Linked DNA regions of Neodiprion lecontei. The main gene of each other region encodes a partner of the protein of the gene in region 2 in a complex. Links are inferred from orthologs where the notes say so. Each region holds a gene or a part of one and is shown on either strand. Other genes may lie near its edges.

What was found.
Region 1: the proteins of mitochondrial import inner membrane translocase subunit Tim22 (region 2) and mitochondrial import inner membrane translocase subunit Tim9 are in contact, whole or in part, in a cryo-EM structure (PDB 7CGP), measured with the Homo sapiens proteins. The link is inferred for Neodiprion lecontei from reciprocal best matches to the Homo sapiens genes TIMM22 and TIMM9. Residues at the interface, in NP_037469.2 of Homo sapiens: Asp35, Arg37, Gln38, Pro39, Arg40, Leu42, Gly45, Ser46, Leu47, Gly49, Ile50, Ser52, Pro53, Lys60; in NP_001291414.1 of Homo sapiens: Gln13, Glu16, Phe17, Thr20, Leu57, Thr60, Gln61, Met65, Phe67, His71, Gln74, Asn75, Leu78, Lys81.

What each region holds. Positions count from the first base shown.
Region 1 is NC_060265.1:19,685,213-19,692,586, forward strand, and holds mitochondrial import inner membrane translocase subunit Tim9, read right to left. Parts: upstream 3,702-7,374; 5' UTR 3,358-3,701; coding exon 3,316-3,357; intron 2,721-3,315; coding exon 2,490-2,720; 3' UTR 1,555-2,489; downstream 1-1,554. Other genes in the region: G patch domain-containing protein 2, read left to right, coding at 1-89, 851-1,554; mitogen-activated protein kinase kinase kinase 11, read left to right, coding at 6,048-6,235, 6,529-6,763, 6,948-7,165. UniProt on the Homo sapiens protein: Mitochondrial intermembrane chaperone that participates in the import and insertion of multi-pass transmembrane proteins into the mitochondrial inner membrane.
Region 2 is NC_060262.1:34,054,773-34,062,799, forward strand, and holds mitochondrial import inner membrane translocase subunit Tim22, read right to left. Parts: upstream 4,885-8,027; 5' UTR 4,722-4,884; coding exon 4,721-4,721; exon of another isoform or gene 4,640-4,720; coding exon 4,379-4,639; intron 4,197-4,378; coding exon 4,012-4,196; intron 3,861-4,011; coding exon 3,788-3,860; intron 3,421-3,787; coding exon 3,338-3,420; 3' UTR 2,216-3,337; downstream 1-2,215. Other genes in the region: septin-1, read left to right, coding at 57-249, 391-649, 889-1,254, 1,599-1,703, 1,834-1,966; uncharacterized protein LOC124293463, read left to right, coding at 6,494-6,661, 6,842-7,029, 7,433-7,556. UniProt on the Homo sapiens protein: Essential core component of the TIM22 complex, a complex that mediates the import and insertion of multi-pass transmembrane proteins into the mitochondrial inner membrane. In the TIM22 complex, it constitutes the voltage-activated and signal-gated channel.

The sequences.
Region 1 (7,374 bases), on a different chromosome or scaffold from region 2:
TGTGATGGACTGCTCACGCATTTCTAACTCTAGTATTTCATCGAGTGATTCTGAAGGTGGAATAATTACCAACGATGAAGACCGCGAAGGTGAGTTTATATTTTAAATATAACATGTGTTTAAGTTATATAGATACTGTATTCCATTAAGATACTTTGAAATACTGGGGTGCCGATCTACCACTTCATGAAACTATAGTCGATAATGTAATATTGAACGTCATAAAAGGAAAATGCTCTGTTTTTTTTTTTTCATTTTTTTATGATTAAAACGTGAGATATCCAATTCTGATGTTTCGATGGAGATAATAATTTCTTTATACAAGAAATGGAATTTTCTATGGTACGTTTATATACTACATATTATATACTATACGTTTCACAACTTATTTAGTTTTCTTCAAATTGGCGTGTTATAGAAAAGTTTAAGCAGTACGATTTCTGAGATATTCAACATTACGTAAACATAGTCCTTCACCCTTTCGAAAAATCTGTACAGTGACAAATTTTACTACGCGCCAATTTGAAGAAAACTAAATAAGTACTCAAACTCTATCATAGAAAGTTCCGTTCTTTGTATAGAAAAATTATTATCAAATAAACGTCAGAATTGGATTTCTTACGTGTTAATCAAATCAAATGGCAACTACAAAATCTCGATGTGGTACAGCTTGAAAAAATTGTTCTGCATTTTCCATTCACAAAGTTCAATATTTTGTTATGAACTATAGTATCATGAAGTGGGAGATGGAAAAAAAAAAACAAAGTTATTTCTGAAGGCATTCTATTAAACACGCATATTTTTTTTTCAAGTGATGTGTTCATTACAATTACGAAATTTTGGCTTTCAGGCGATGATGAGCAATCCGATTGGATTGGAGATTCAGGATGGTGGGACGACGGGGACAGCACAAATGAAGAAAAGGTCAGTTCAGATCCGGCTTTGCAAGTAATACTACACGGTAGCTTTGAGCATTTAACCGATGAGGCGAAAAAAAATTATCGTCAAAGAATGCAATGGATTCGAGATGGACTCAGTGGCAGAGAAATTCGAGCTGGGCGACGCCGTGTGGATAATAAGCCTGGTTATTCTATAATAACTTCGGCGAACGAAAAAGTTTCAAGGTTTCTACAGGACCCTAGCCAAAGTGAACTAAAGCTGCATCCAATGCGACAGCCTGAGCGTGAAAAACTACGAAGGCTTGCCAATTTGTACAGCTTAAGTTTGAAGGGTGATTTGAGTTGTCCAATTTTATACAAAACTCGCCATACGACCCAAGCCATTTGCGTCGATCAAGTTTCTCTGAATAGAATATCCGATTACAAAAGGCTACGAAAGACTCCACCAAATTCGCCAAATCCTGATTCGGAAATGCAGGAGAATGAGCTACCTATTTCAAGTGTGAATTTTGGTACACAAATTACAAACCAAATACAGGGTATTGGCTCTGTCGAGAGCCTGACACAAACTGTAAACTTTGGCTGGGATATACCAAGTACAGACCTGCAAATAAAACCAAAGTTTCATAGCTTTGGTCACTCCAAATCTAGCTAAATGTTATAGAGATTTTATTACGAATCTACACATATGTTCTTGCATAATGACAATTCTCTGAAAACGCCGATTTTTACAGTCATAAACCAGTTTTTGTAAGTATAATTCAAACTTAAATCAAGCTCCATCGCACCTTGATAGCATGGTTGAATATAATCAAAGGCGAAAATCAATGACATTGCGAAAAGAAATGTAGCCGATTTTATTTTTCCGTCCCCTTCTTGTGAATTCATTAAACTTCGCTATTATCTGCTGACGTTCTGTGCAGTTTTTTCCGGAATTTCGTAATTTTTCTCATTCTATCAGAAAATTCCGTTCGCTTCACCGGTATTTAGTTGTATAAAAAGAGAAACTTACAATCCTGTCTTGTGTTTGAATTATATTTTAAAACATTTGTAAGAATGCCTGTAAAGAACAGTTACATAAAGAAATATTATTTACAAGCATTTGATATACTAAGGTTTACCAGAACAACAGTTACATGTCTCATGAACTATACTTCTGTACATTTTTGTGCCTAAACCAGATCTTGATGAAACATGCCCAAGAATTCCTCGAAGATGTATATCAGTTTTTTTTGAGGTGTAAGTAGATCTCCGGTCATTTATTTTTGGAATATCACTTGAAATAATGATTATAATAATTTATAACTATAGTGTTAAGTTGTTACCTACAGTACAGTCTGGAATACTGTATATGTTAATTATTATCATCTTCTATTAGGGTTTTTGAAAACTCGTTCATGAAAGATGGGCCAATGGTGGAAGTTATGTTTAAAAACATAATATAACAATAAATACACTACTACTTCTATAAAATTCATGCGTTAGTTTATTCATATAGTAAGACGTTTTTGATATACTAATAGCATATAACATAGAACGAGGAGCACTTGTTGATAAAATTCTAAATGACCAAAAATAAATGTAGTATTATTAGCGTAATTGACCTAATTTTTTAGCTGCTGCCATTGCATTTTCATTGGCTATCATCTGAAATTCTTGAAAGCGTTGGGAGACCCTCTGATTCATCTTCATATATTTCTCCATACAATTCAGCGCACATTTCTCCTCTTTGGTTCTCACTTCTCGTGTTGTAAAATCGGTTATACAGTCAATGAAGCAGATTTCCGATAGCTTATTGTATGATGTCAAGAAGTCTCTAAACTGAAAAGTTATAAAATTATTCCAATAATAAATATGTTTTATTAAATATTTTACTATGTCAAATTTAAACGATTAATTATATCGTTACACTTCGAATTTTTACCAGACTGTAGGACAAGACGAAAGTACGTTTAAATTACTTTTGCTGAAAGTTGTAATAGATCAACATTCGTAATTTTACTTCAACGGTACAAGATATTGGTAACTCTATTATACATAATCTAGATTGGCCTTCATATGAACAAGTGTTACATAGAATGACAACTTTCTTGAACTCAATTTGGGAATACGTTCGAATATTTGGGTTACGTTAGAGTTGTTAAGGAATTATTAGTCCTTTAAAACAAGCTAGTGAATTCAAAACTTAGCAACGTGGACAAACGATAACCTAAAAATATTATGACTGCAGATGATGTCTACCGTAATAACAAATCAAAGCGTAATATAACAGATATAAGACTTGACATGGAATTCGGTTCCCATAGAGGATTTTCTTATACTTTTTGATATTCAAATTTGAGACCCTTGAGAAGTTCAGAATTGAAGTGGTCCTCACTCAGTCGCATGTATTTTGACACATAAAACGAATACTTGCCGACTTGATTTGCTCCGCATCAACTTCAGTCGGCATTTCCATTTTTAGTATTCAAGTTTTGATTGACTAGAATGTTAAGTAAGGATTCGCAAATCCAACAAGATATTTCATTAGTAGTACGTCCCAATAAAACTGTGGCAATGTTATACGTGGAAGTTGCGAATTTTACTGGTCAATAAGAAACTCCGAATTTATCTAGTCAATCTTTGGGTTTAGAATATTTCTACAGCTGATGTAAAGAGTTGGCAAATACAAATTATGTGTAAAATCGGTATTCTTGCACGTTAGGATCAGAGATGGTTCAATTTACTGCATTTCCATGTCTGAAGTTAGTTAAAAGTACTCCCCTCCAAATGTTTATTCGTATGGTATGAATCGTGGTTTGGACTGCCCCCACCCCTTATAGCATAAAAATAAATCGACTTCAGTTAGGCACTAGTTCCGGGAGTTTGTCCAATCCCGGCGGATTTAACTTACGGCAGCTCCTCATTAACTGTAAATTGCATTGAAATTCAATGTCCCGAATAGAAAACCTCTTGTTGGTAGTTTTCGGTTGTTTATCATAGCAGACTATTCGAGAATTTCAGAATTCCATGACATTTCCAGGTGTTCCAGAATTGCCTGACGAGTAGTCACACTGGCTAAGTATATGGAGCGCACGGTAACATTAGTTATTGTTGTTCTTGTTGTCTTTCCTATGAATAGTACCGTTTACTGACTTGAGTTGCGCGACGCAGAATATAGAGATCAGGTGATACAACTTCAGTCAACGTATCAGTGGTTATGCCGGTTATACCATAGAAATTAGTGATGATGCTACCTCCGCGGGAATAAGCCTTATGTAGAGTGGTGCAGCCAGTGTAGCCATGCTATAGATCGTAAAACATGTACAGCAGCGAACATAACACGGTGGTAAAAATTAGAACTATTCTAGACGACACTTTTTGGAGTTCAGCTTACGCCACAAATGCATTAGAGTTCGGTCTGCTTCCCTCCAGTCTTCCTGGACGGGACTATCAAATTAAACATGGCGCCTGCTAGGTTATTGTCGTGAGTGATAATTTATTTTCTGGTGTTAATGTGAAAATTTCACAGGTTTTCCGGGCCGATGCGGAGCGCGGCGCGTACGGGAAGGCGTCCCGGCCTCGTTCGCCCCGGTTTAAACGTAACTCTGTAATCAGAACGCCAATAAAACATATAAATTGAATTGCATAAACAGTGGGTTGTGGGTATACACACCCTGACGCGAGATCCCTCGAGTATATCCTCAGCTTTATGGGTTTCTCCTATATTTGTGACGTAGTTAGTAGTTTCTTATTGACTGTTGTTCACCCTCGCAAACAAATACTCTGGCTGATTGGTGATAATTGTATATTAAAACCCGAAAATGTCGAGGTTTTGTACAGTGTTTTCTTCAGTGGGATAAGAGCCACCATCGGCTGCTTGAAGATCACTTTGGTAAATATATGGATTTTGTTTCTCTGCCACTTTATTTCACAGGCTAATCTATAAACTTTCATATCTGTCACGTGATGACATTAACGGATGATAAGTTTTTTTTTTCGTTTATTTTATTTATTTTTTAATGCATCTCAAATATGGCAGTGAATGAACCTCGACATTAAAACAAGTCAATTAGTATGCACATCATCACACTAACCTGTATCATGCATTATTTTACAGTAATCTAATTAATTAGATTTTATGCGAAATTTTATTCACCAATTTCGACATATTTATTAACCTGAGAAATATACAGTCAATTATCAATTCAATTATATCCATGCTAGTAGTTAAAGAATATTTCATTTCATCTTTGACTATGTTTACAGAAAATCAATAAAAAAAAAAAATCAATAATACTGAATTTCCACTTCCAAACATCTTCGAACTCTAATCAAATTTATAAATAGGCCTGATTTGGCCTTTATTATCAATAGATTTAACAGGTTATTGCGTCAATATGCCTGCTGTTATTTTTTTTTTTGTTAATTTCTATTGAATAAATTATAAAAGTATTGGCTCCATTTCTATATTCGAAAAATATTAACTAAGTAATATGAAATAAGACTTTTGACTTTAATTATATTCATTTTGGTGAGATGCCGTAAAGAAATGAAACCAACATCCAATTTTTGAATACTATGATTTGTAGCAAAAACCATATGTACCCGATATCTATCTCTCTTGAGGTTTGTGAACATGGTTGTAATGTTTTTTGTTTTTTTCTATTCTCAAGTTTTAGCTCTTTTAAGTAAATCTGATTGCATTTTGCAAAACTAGCTATGTTAACGCTCTCTGCTGCTCATCAGCTCTTTTCTAAATTTTAATTCAACATTGCATACTCCTACATTCCTTAAAAGCAAGGAAATGCACCATTCATAATTCATACTTACATGAACCTGCTTTTAAATATGAATCTTTGGTTTTGATAATTTTTCAAAATTGTTAATTTACTAGTGATAAACCAGTTAGAGAAATGACACATCAGCTGCAGATGTTGTTCAGTGGCTGAAATTTTTCTTTCCTTGTAAGCTGCCTACAGCCTAAAGATTGTACTCGTGAGCTATCATTAATTCTTAAATGGCTTAAAAATTTCGTTTAAAAAATTATTCTTGTCTATTAGCAAATAATGAAATGTAAGAATGGAAACCAGCTGTATCAACAACAGCTGAAAACTATGTAGAGATCAATTTTGTTAAAAAGGATAACAGCGGAAAGGCTTGGGCCTTATGCCGCCTGCCGGGCTATCGGCACGAGGTTTGTCTACTTTGATGGACCACGGACATCCGGACGCTCGTCATCAGAGCGAGCGATTTTTACATTATCCGGAGAATGGCTCCACACGCTATCAGACTCAAAGCAATACCAATTCACCCAGATATCAGCCGAGCAACAGAGGCACCCACCATTGGACGAGGTAATCAGATACGCTACGGTTGCATAAATGGGAGTGAAATAAGCTTAATAACCATTTTTTGAAACTATAAAAAGATTACGTTGATAAAGTAAAAATTTAAAATCCTTGTTCTTTCACAAATATCTGAACCTAAGCTTATATTTTCTTCACTTAGCTACTTTATTTTTACCTTGTTGCACCATTGATTTGTGTTGGTATTAAACGACACAGTTTCCATTATTACATGAAAATGATAATAATAGTTATTATCAATATAAAATTTGTTAAGTAAGAAAAAAATTGTTATGGACTAGCCACGGATATTCAGAGGCACGTGCTTCGAACAATAACATGTCGGACAGCAGCGTTTCTGACACACATAGTGGTGGCACGGCTAAAACCGTATCCCAACAAACCAGCCCATCTCATGGAACGTATTCCTCGTCACAATCGCAAAATGACAATAGCTCCATTATTTTCACCGCTCTATTTGATTACGTTGCTCAGGGTGAAGATGAGCTAACGCTTCAAAGAGGTGAAACTGTTGAGGTAATTCAATTAGATATCAATATTTCTTTTCAAATGTGTGTGCATATATATATTCTTGCCTAACATAAAATATCAAGAAACTCTTAAGTATATACTTGTTGTATCAATATATTTATTTTACATTATTAAAAAGTAAGTTCCAAGTTTAAGTAAAACATCAGATGTATTATTTGTATTCTACTAGGTTCTGTCGAAAGATTCAAAAATTTCCGGCGATGAAGGATGGTGGACGGGTAAAATTCATGGAAAGGTGGGAATATTTCCTGCCAATTTTGTTGCTAAAGCTGATAGTATCGACAAGGTCTCTTCAGTTATTGACAAAGTTCAACCAGTAGAAATCGATTTTGATGAATTACAATTAGAGGAGGTCATCGGTGTTGGAGGTTTTGGAAAAGTCTATAGGTGAGTGTGGGGCAACTTCATCTAATATATGATTTGTAACGAGGAACTTATTTCACTGTTGAATAATTTCTTTAGCAAATCTTATTATCAGATCCAGGAATTGTACCTGGATCTATAACTGTTTGATTGGTTTCTTACTACCATGATTATGCTAGATTGCCTGGTAATTTGAACATCTTATTGGCTATCAAGTTGACAAGTGCCTAATC
Region 2 (8,027 bases):
TTTATCAGCACCACAATTCGATCTAGTATTTGTATTCATTTATAAATTTACCGCAGTTTGCCAGCCTTGAGACACCTGGATATGTTGGCTTCGCTAATCTGCCAAATCAGGTTCATCGAAAGTCTGTTAAAAAAGGGTTCGAATTTACTTTAATGGTCGTCGGAGAGTCGGGCCTTGGAAAATCAACGCTAGTGAATAGCCTCTTCCTCACAGATTTGTACCCGGAAAGAATTATTCCTGACGCAGTTGGTTAGTACATACAGAACTGGCTAGTTTCTGTATTTTCATATGTATCAATTTATATCCTAATAAATCAATAAATATCTACAACAATCGATAAATGATTCCCAGTGCATTGATATTTTACTGCGTCTTATACATTTTTTTTAGAAAAAACGAATCAGACTGTGAAGCTTGATGCTTCAACTGTAGAAATTGAGGAACGCGGTGTGAAACTTAGATTGACAGTAGTGGACACTCCTGGATACGGAGATGCTATCGACAATACTGACAGTTTCAGAGCCATTATTCAGTATATTGATGACCAATTTGAAAGATTTCTTAGAGACGAAAGTGGCCTTAATCGTAGAAATATTGTGGATAACAGAATCCATTGCTGTTTCTACTTTATATCTCCGTTTGGTCACGGGTAAGCATTAACCAACGTTTGTACTGTGGAATATGAACATGACTCATGTTTAAGGAAAGGCTTTTGGAAATAAATACCTGCTTGAGAATTATGTAGCATGGAATTGTTCGTTCACTTGCAGAATAAGTTTTTCACAATATAATTACAACATTACAATCTCTGCCCTTCCCCATTTGTAGAAGTTAACTTATTCTAATCCTTTTTAGAAAATCAAATTCACTAACATAGTGTGTCTTCAGGTTAAAGCCTTTGGATATTGAATTTATGAAACAACTGCACAACAAGGTCAATATTGTACCAGTAATAGCAAAGGCGGATGTGCTGACGAAAAAGGAAGTTCTTCGTTTGAAGAAACGTGTTATGGAGGAGATCGAAGGCAATGGTATCAAAATATACCCACTTCCAGACTGTGATAGCGATGAAGATGAAGATTACAAGGAACAAGTGAGACAGTTGAAGGAAGCAGTACCATTCGCAGTTTGTGGTGCAAATACGCTCTTAGAAGTCAAAGGGAGAAAAGTTAGGGGACGATTGTATCCGTGGGGTGTTGTGGAAGTAGAAAATCCTGACCATTGTGACTTCATAAAATTGAGGACAATGCTTATGTAAGTCTTGAGCATAATTAATATCATGTTCCATTAAACTTTAGAGAACGAGGATTTGGGATTCTTGGTGTCCTTCAGAAAATGCATAACAAAGGTATCTAATATGTTAAAACTATCATAGGTAAAGTGTCGATCATGCGTCACCCCTGTATACGGGTGTTCTCGTCCTCTAAAGGTTAATATTTGCACAATTCATTCTATCGTGCTATTCAAGGCTAGTGTAACTACTTGTGTTGCATCAAGTTTATAATTATTCTTTTGTACATTTCATGAAACTTGAGCTGAAAAATTCATATTCCCATTTCTATTGATTGTTATAATGCTTATATCTCTACATTTTACAGAACACACATGCAAGATCTCCAAGAAGTTACGCAAGAGGTTCATTATGAAAATTATCGTTCTGAAAGATTAGCTAAAGGAGCTCCTGCGCCACCGAGACGTCAAACGTATGTCACCCAATGGTTTGACCCTGAGAAGTCTATGAATTTCATGATCAATATATTTATACACTAGTGGTTTATAATTTTTTTTTGCTTGAATTATTTTATAATTGGCCGAATTATTTTCAACTCACAGGATTATAGAGTCAGAAAAGACGAATACTGTGAGCGAAAAAGACCGTATTTTACAAGAAAAGGAAGCGGAATTACGACGCATGCAGGAAATGGTGGCTCAAATGCAGGCCCAAATGCAACAACAACAACCTTAGAATTGAAGAATATTTAAATACATCTTGAGGATAAAATCTCCATCTTGCCAGGTGCCAAAAGTCGAAAGAAACTACAGTACTGTCTTAAATTTTGATTCGTAAAAAGGAGTGGTCCAATAATTGGTATTAATTTTGGAATTTGCCATTCCGAAATTCCAAATCAGAATCGATTTTATTTTACCACCAATTCATAGGACGTAGTACAATTTTTTTACTTCTCATCATAGTTTATAATTTTTTAATTGTGAATGTTTATGTGCTGTGGGACGTGCATATTGAGTGATAGAAGCTAAACCAAAAAAACAAAATAACCAAGACACAAAAACATTTGTTACTTACATATCTGTGTGCATTGTAAAGAGAAATATGAAGAGTGCCTTGCAGTATTTTTTTTTTAAACGAAATGTGTATCATTTTAGCCAACTTGTTCTGCACAACCCGCACTTTTACATAATTATTTAGTGAAAATTAATTTCAAAAAAAACTTTTCGAGGTAGAATAAATATGACAATATCAAGCCATTCCTGACAAGAAGATTAGTGAATTTCTTATACTAAAGGTATAAAGATACCCATTAGTTTTTGCTTGCAATGTTAATAACAATATCACATATCCGCGCGATATTTATGTTTTCTATGTTGAAATACGTTCCATATTGTATGTGCGATATGAAGTTAAAAAAATCTCATAATTCGTACAAAATTTCCTCATATCAAAGTTATGATTAAATATACTGCCAGTTTTAGGTATTGCAAATTCCTGAATGTTAACAAGCAATTAGAATCGTATTAGGTAATGGCGAATTTCGAATATGAGAGAAGAGTATATATTTTCTATAAATAAAATAGGTTTAATTGTTCGTTGTGACAACGCATTTACTCTGTACTGATCTACATATAATACTTTTTTCATCTGTATTTAAGTGGAATTTTTCGGCTTTATACAATTGTATTTTCTAAGTGAAAGCCTTTTATTATTCCTCACCTTTATTAGGAGGCATATTACCCTAATATCATTTTTATTGGCATTGAGAAAGTGAAGTTTGATCAAGGAATTGTCAACTATTTTGAAAATCTTTAAGTAGGTAGATACCGTAAGTGTGTAAGAAATTTTAATGCAAGAAAAATGTATATGAACTATTTTATTATAGATTAACAGATATTTACAACTCCTTCGTCAAGCCAAGTGATTTTAATCTAATAATTAAGTCTTATCCTGTGTAAAATTTTGATCTTCTCTATATTTTAATTTGAAAAAAATATATATTATTGACATAAAAATTACTTATTCAGCTTTTATTACACTATTCTTGCATATTATTTACAGTTAACAAGTATTATACAATAAATAATTTAATTTTGTCTAAAAAATTCAAGATTTATGCATATAGTAATCTATCGCTGTTGAAAATGCTGCAAAACCCGCAGCACCAACAAGACCCGCTTTCAGTCCAGCTAAAAATATTAGGTAAAATAATAAATCACGAAGTTTTAACTGTTTTAAGTTTGACAATGACATTGTAATTTTATAATACGTGTATTATAAGTTTCGCTAATTTTGTACAAATGTATGACAGATTTGTTCTGCATTTTGAGAGATTTTATTTGAAAATAATGTGTAAAGAAGTAGTTTTTCAAGTATATGTTTAATTTCGAATAGGTATAAGAGAATCTTTAAACCAACTTGGGTTTGAGCGATTGGATTTTAAAACGTGAAATTTTATTGTAGTGTAACAACAGGTTTGAGGCATCACAATCTTAGAAAAATCAAAAAAAATCTGAGTATATGCAATGATCAAGGGTGTAAATCAGTCTAACTTACCTCTAAGACCGATAAGTCCACCTGTCACACCACCAGCATAACTGCCGTTTCGCCAGTCAGACTTTCCCCTGTACTAAAAAGTAAGGGTCATTATACCATTCCAACCAGATTCATATATGATCTTTCAAGTAGAAATAGGGAGTACAATAACATTCCGAAAAGTAATCAAATTACCAACTGGAGAATAAGTCAAATTATTGTTAGTGCTATAACGTAAATCTTACTGTTTCTATGGTACATTCAACGGCTGAGAATACACATCCTACAACAGCAAAGTTTTTGGCATATCCAAGTGTCGTCATCTTCATTTCTTTGAATATTTCACGTGCTGTTTGCTGTTTTTCTACGCTAGCAACGTTTGGATTTACACTGGAAGAAAATAGACCGATAGCTGCACCAAGACCGTAGCCTATCGACATAATTCATCATGAGTCAGTGATGTGTATTCTTGAGATTAGGAAAACTTCATGTGCGTGACCACTTATAGATCAGGATCAAGATATGCACTTTATTTTTCAATCCTAAGTAATCTTCCATTTTACCTACAGGTGACGGGATTAGCGCAACCATTGCTAACGAAAAACTACATACCCATAACGCAACTCATGAAGCTTTTGAAGATGCAGCTCTCCATGACAGACTCCATGAGTTTCTCGTCGTTCGTTTTTATCCTGACGGGACCCATCACTCTAGGTATAATGATATTCTCTCTGAAACGTTGTTGAGTGCCGACCAAATGAACGGCTATTTTATCCATGTCAGGATCATTCATAAATACTCTCTTATCTCCTTCGGGAGTCGGTGGCGGCTTGGGTGGGTTGAAGGAAAACATCTCTTTGCGATTATTGCGCACTGGGATATGCGAAATTTAACACTCTTCTTTTAGAAATTAGTCAAACTACGTGAGGCACATTACAATTCGGAAATACATATTTTGGAGGTTAGGGCTTGGTTTGGTCGTTGACTGAAGAATATAAAGACAGTTGCCCTAATGGGCTTTGAGGGCTTTGGTATGACAACCGAAAATCGTCATGCGCTTGCGCCCCCTGAGACGTTCCTACGGTAGAGTTGAGAACTTGCTGCAGAACATCAGAGAGTTACCGATTTCGACATGATGCTGGCTGCATTCACCTTCAGAGTATCACAGTCTTCGCAATGGTACGCCCAAGCCAGTACGTAGCCTGTGTGTACTTACTGATTGGTTGGCAATACGAGGAATTAATGATCAGTGCAAATTTCTTTCAAAATTTGTAGCAAAACAGTGATTTAATTAAAGTATAGGTACCCGAGAGGAGAATGTATACATAGATCATAAATAGTAATAGGTCAGATGTAATAATAATGCAGAGACCAAAAAGTATGTATGTATATACGGTCCACGTGCGATATTGATATATGTGATCCATTTACGATTATTACGCGGTGCATACTATGAATTTTATAATTTTCCAGGAGACAAATTAGATTATCTACAATGATACGACTGTAATATGTGAATAAAAGACTTATTCATTTCGAAATGAGATTCCATTCGACACGCGCTCGGTGTATTCCATAACATTGTTATTCATAATTCGAACTACTTTTCATTTGGTGTATCAATATTGAGCTTTCGTAGGCATAGAATCGAAACACTGTTTTAGCTAGTCGCAAGTGAAGTATCTACGTTGGCTAGAAAAGCAGAATTGTTTTCGAAAAGTGTTCGTACGGAGAAGAATTCAGAATAACTGTAATGCATCTCGGATGCGCTGATTTTGATGATGAAATGAATCCTCCGTATATAAGACAGTATTTAATACAGTGTCCTAATTTGAATACCTAAAACGGTGATTCTCAGCGATTTTTGTTGTTGATAGAAAGAGATGGAACGGAGCTTGGTCAAGTTTCGAGTGTATTTGAACACACATTTGAAAGGCACGAGCAAAAGATTCTATCATCCAACTGTTACAGAACGGCGGCGTTATTAGCTGACCCGTTAATTGAAGAATATATCTTTGGTCGAAGGCTGACCATCAAAGAGCCTAGCCGCTTGAGTCTAAAATCAGCAGAAGAAATGAAGTGCGTATTGCTTGTCTAAAATGTGTAAACTGAAATCATTATAGATCATCTCATATCATCATACATCAAACACCATACATCATACATCGTACATCATGAACCATACGTTATACAACATACATCATACACAGTACTGAAGTTCGAAACCAAAGTATGCATGTTGGGATGATCAGAAAGTGACGTCACCCAAAATTTTTTTTTCTCGACGTCATCGATCGAAAATCAGCTAGCCGAATTCCTCAGTCTGGAAACAACCGCGCGGTAGAGCGGACGTATGAGAATTGCGCTCAGCAGATTTCGAGTACCGGGTTCTCTGTCTCCTGGATCCTGCGCTCCGGGTCGGCTACCTGGTCAAACTCGACTTCCAAGACAAGCGCTCGGTGGTTTCTGCGCTCCAGGTCCGTTTCCTGGTGCCACTCGAGTTCCAGGACAAGCGCTCCGCGGTGCCTGCGCTCATGTCCGCTACCTGTTGAAATTCGACTTCAGGGACTAGCGCTCGTAGTTTGTGCGTTCCAGGTCGGCTACCTGGTACAACTTGACTTCAGGGACAAGCGCTACGTAGTTTTTGCGCGCCAGGTCCGCTACCTGGTAGAACTCGACTTCCAGGACGAGCGCTCCGTAGTTTCTGCGCTCGAGGTGTACCACCTGATGAAACTCGAGTTCCAGGACAAGAGTTCTGTAGTTTCTGCACTCCGGGTGTCCTACCTCGTGAAACTCGACTTCCAAGACAAGCGATCCGTAGTTTCTACTATCCAGGTTCATTTCCTGGTGCAACTTGAGTTCCAGGACAAGCGCTCCGTGGTTCCTGCGCTCCAGGTCTGTGACCTGGTGAAACTCGGCTTCAGGGATAAACGCTCCGTAGTTTCTACGCTCCAAGTACGCTACCTGGTGAAGCTCGAGATCCAGGACAAGCGATACGTGGTTTCTGCGCTCCAGGTCGGCTATCTGGTAAGACTCGACTTCAGGGAAAAGCGCTGTGTAGTTTTTGCGCGCCAGGTCCACTACCTGGTAGAATTTGACTTCCAGGACAAGCGCTCCGTCGTTTCTGCGCTCGAGGTCCGCTACCTGATGAAACTCGACTTCAGGGAAAAGCGCTACGTAGGTTTTCCACTACAAGTCCGCTGCCCGCTGAATCTCGACTCTCGGGGGATGAGGTGGACGAGAAGGTCAAGGATTTCTGCACGGTGAGTATAACATTTTTATAATATTTAACGGCCCTTGTAATTATATTTTATCTAAATTTGTTTAAGCTTGTCATTTTTACAATAAATTATTTCAATTCATTTTTCGTGCAAGCACAAATTCAGTAGCTATGAATAATCTTATACAATTTATTACATTACAAATTAATTAATTAATATTCTTATAATATTTGATGGCAATTGTAATTATATTTCATCTGAAATATTACAAACTTGTCACGTTTACAATGAATTATTTCAATTCATTTTTCGTGCAAGCACAAATTCAGTAGCTATAAGTGCGCTACTAAAATTTATTACATAATTGATTAATTGAATAATTATAATAATACTTGCACATATTTTTGATGAGTTCTTGTACTGAAAAGACTGATTACTATTCCAGGTATAACCCGAGGTGGTCATCGGTGGTTGTTGGAGGTGGTTGGCTGTGGCTGGAGGTGGACGAGAAGGAGGACCAGGAAGACAAGGAGAACAAGATGGTCGAGGACGATGAGGATTCGTGCACTGTGAGAATATCATTCTAAAGTATTGAATAGAGTAGGAGTAGGAGTAGGAGTAGGATCAAGAGTAGGAGTAGGAGTAGAATCAGAAGTAGGAGTGTTACGAGTTGGAGTTGCCAACCCAACCCAACCCAATCCAATTGGTCCGCTTACCCTACCCTACCCTACCCTTCCCACCCCTACCCTCCTCCCATACTTCTACTCCTACTTCTGCTCCTACTTCTACTTCAATCTTACTCCTACTTCTACTACGATCTTACTCCAACTCCTGATCCTACTCCTATTCTTACTCTCACTCTTGAACCTACTCCTGATCCTACTTCTATTCCTACTCCTAATTCTGAATATGAATGTTATGGGATATATAGACTGCGTGTCGAATTGTATCCCATATCGAAACGAACAATTCTTTTATTGTCATATTATACCCGATTATAGTAGATAATCTAGTATGTTTACTAGCAAATTATAAAATTT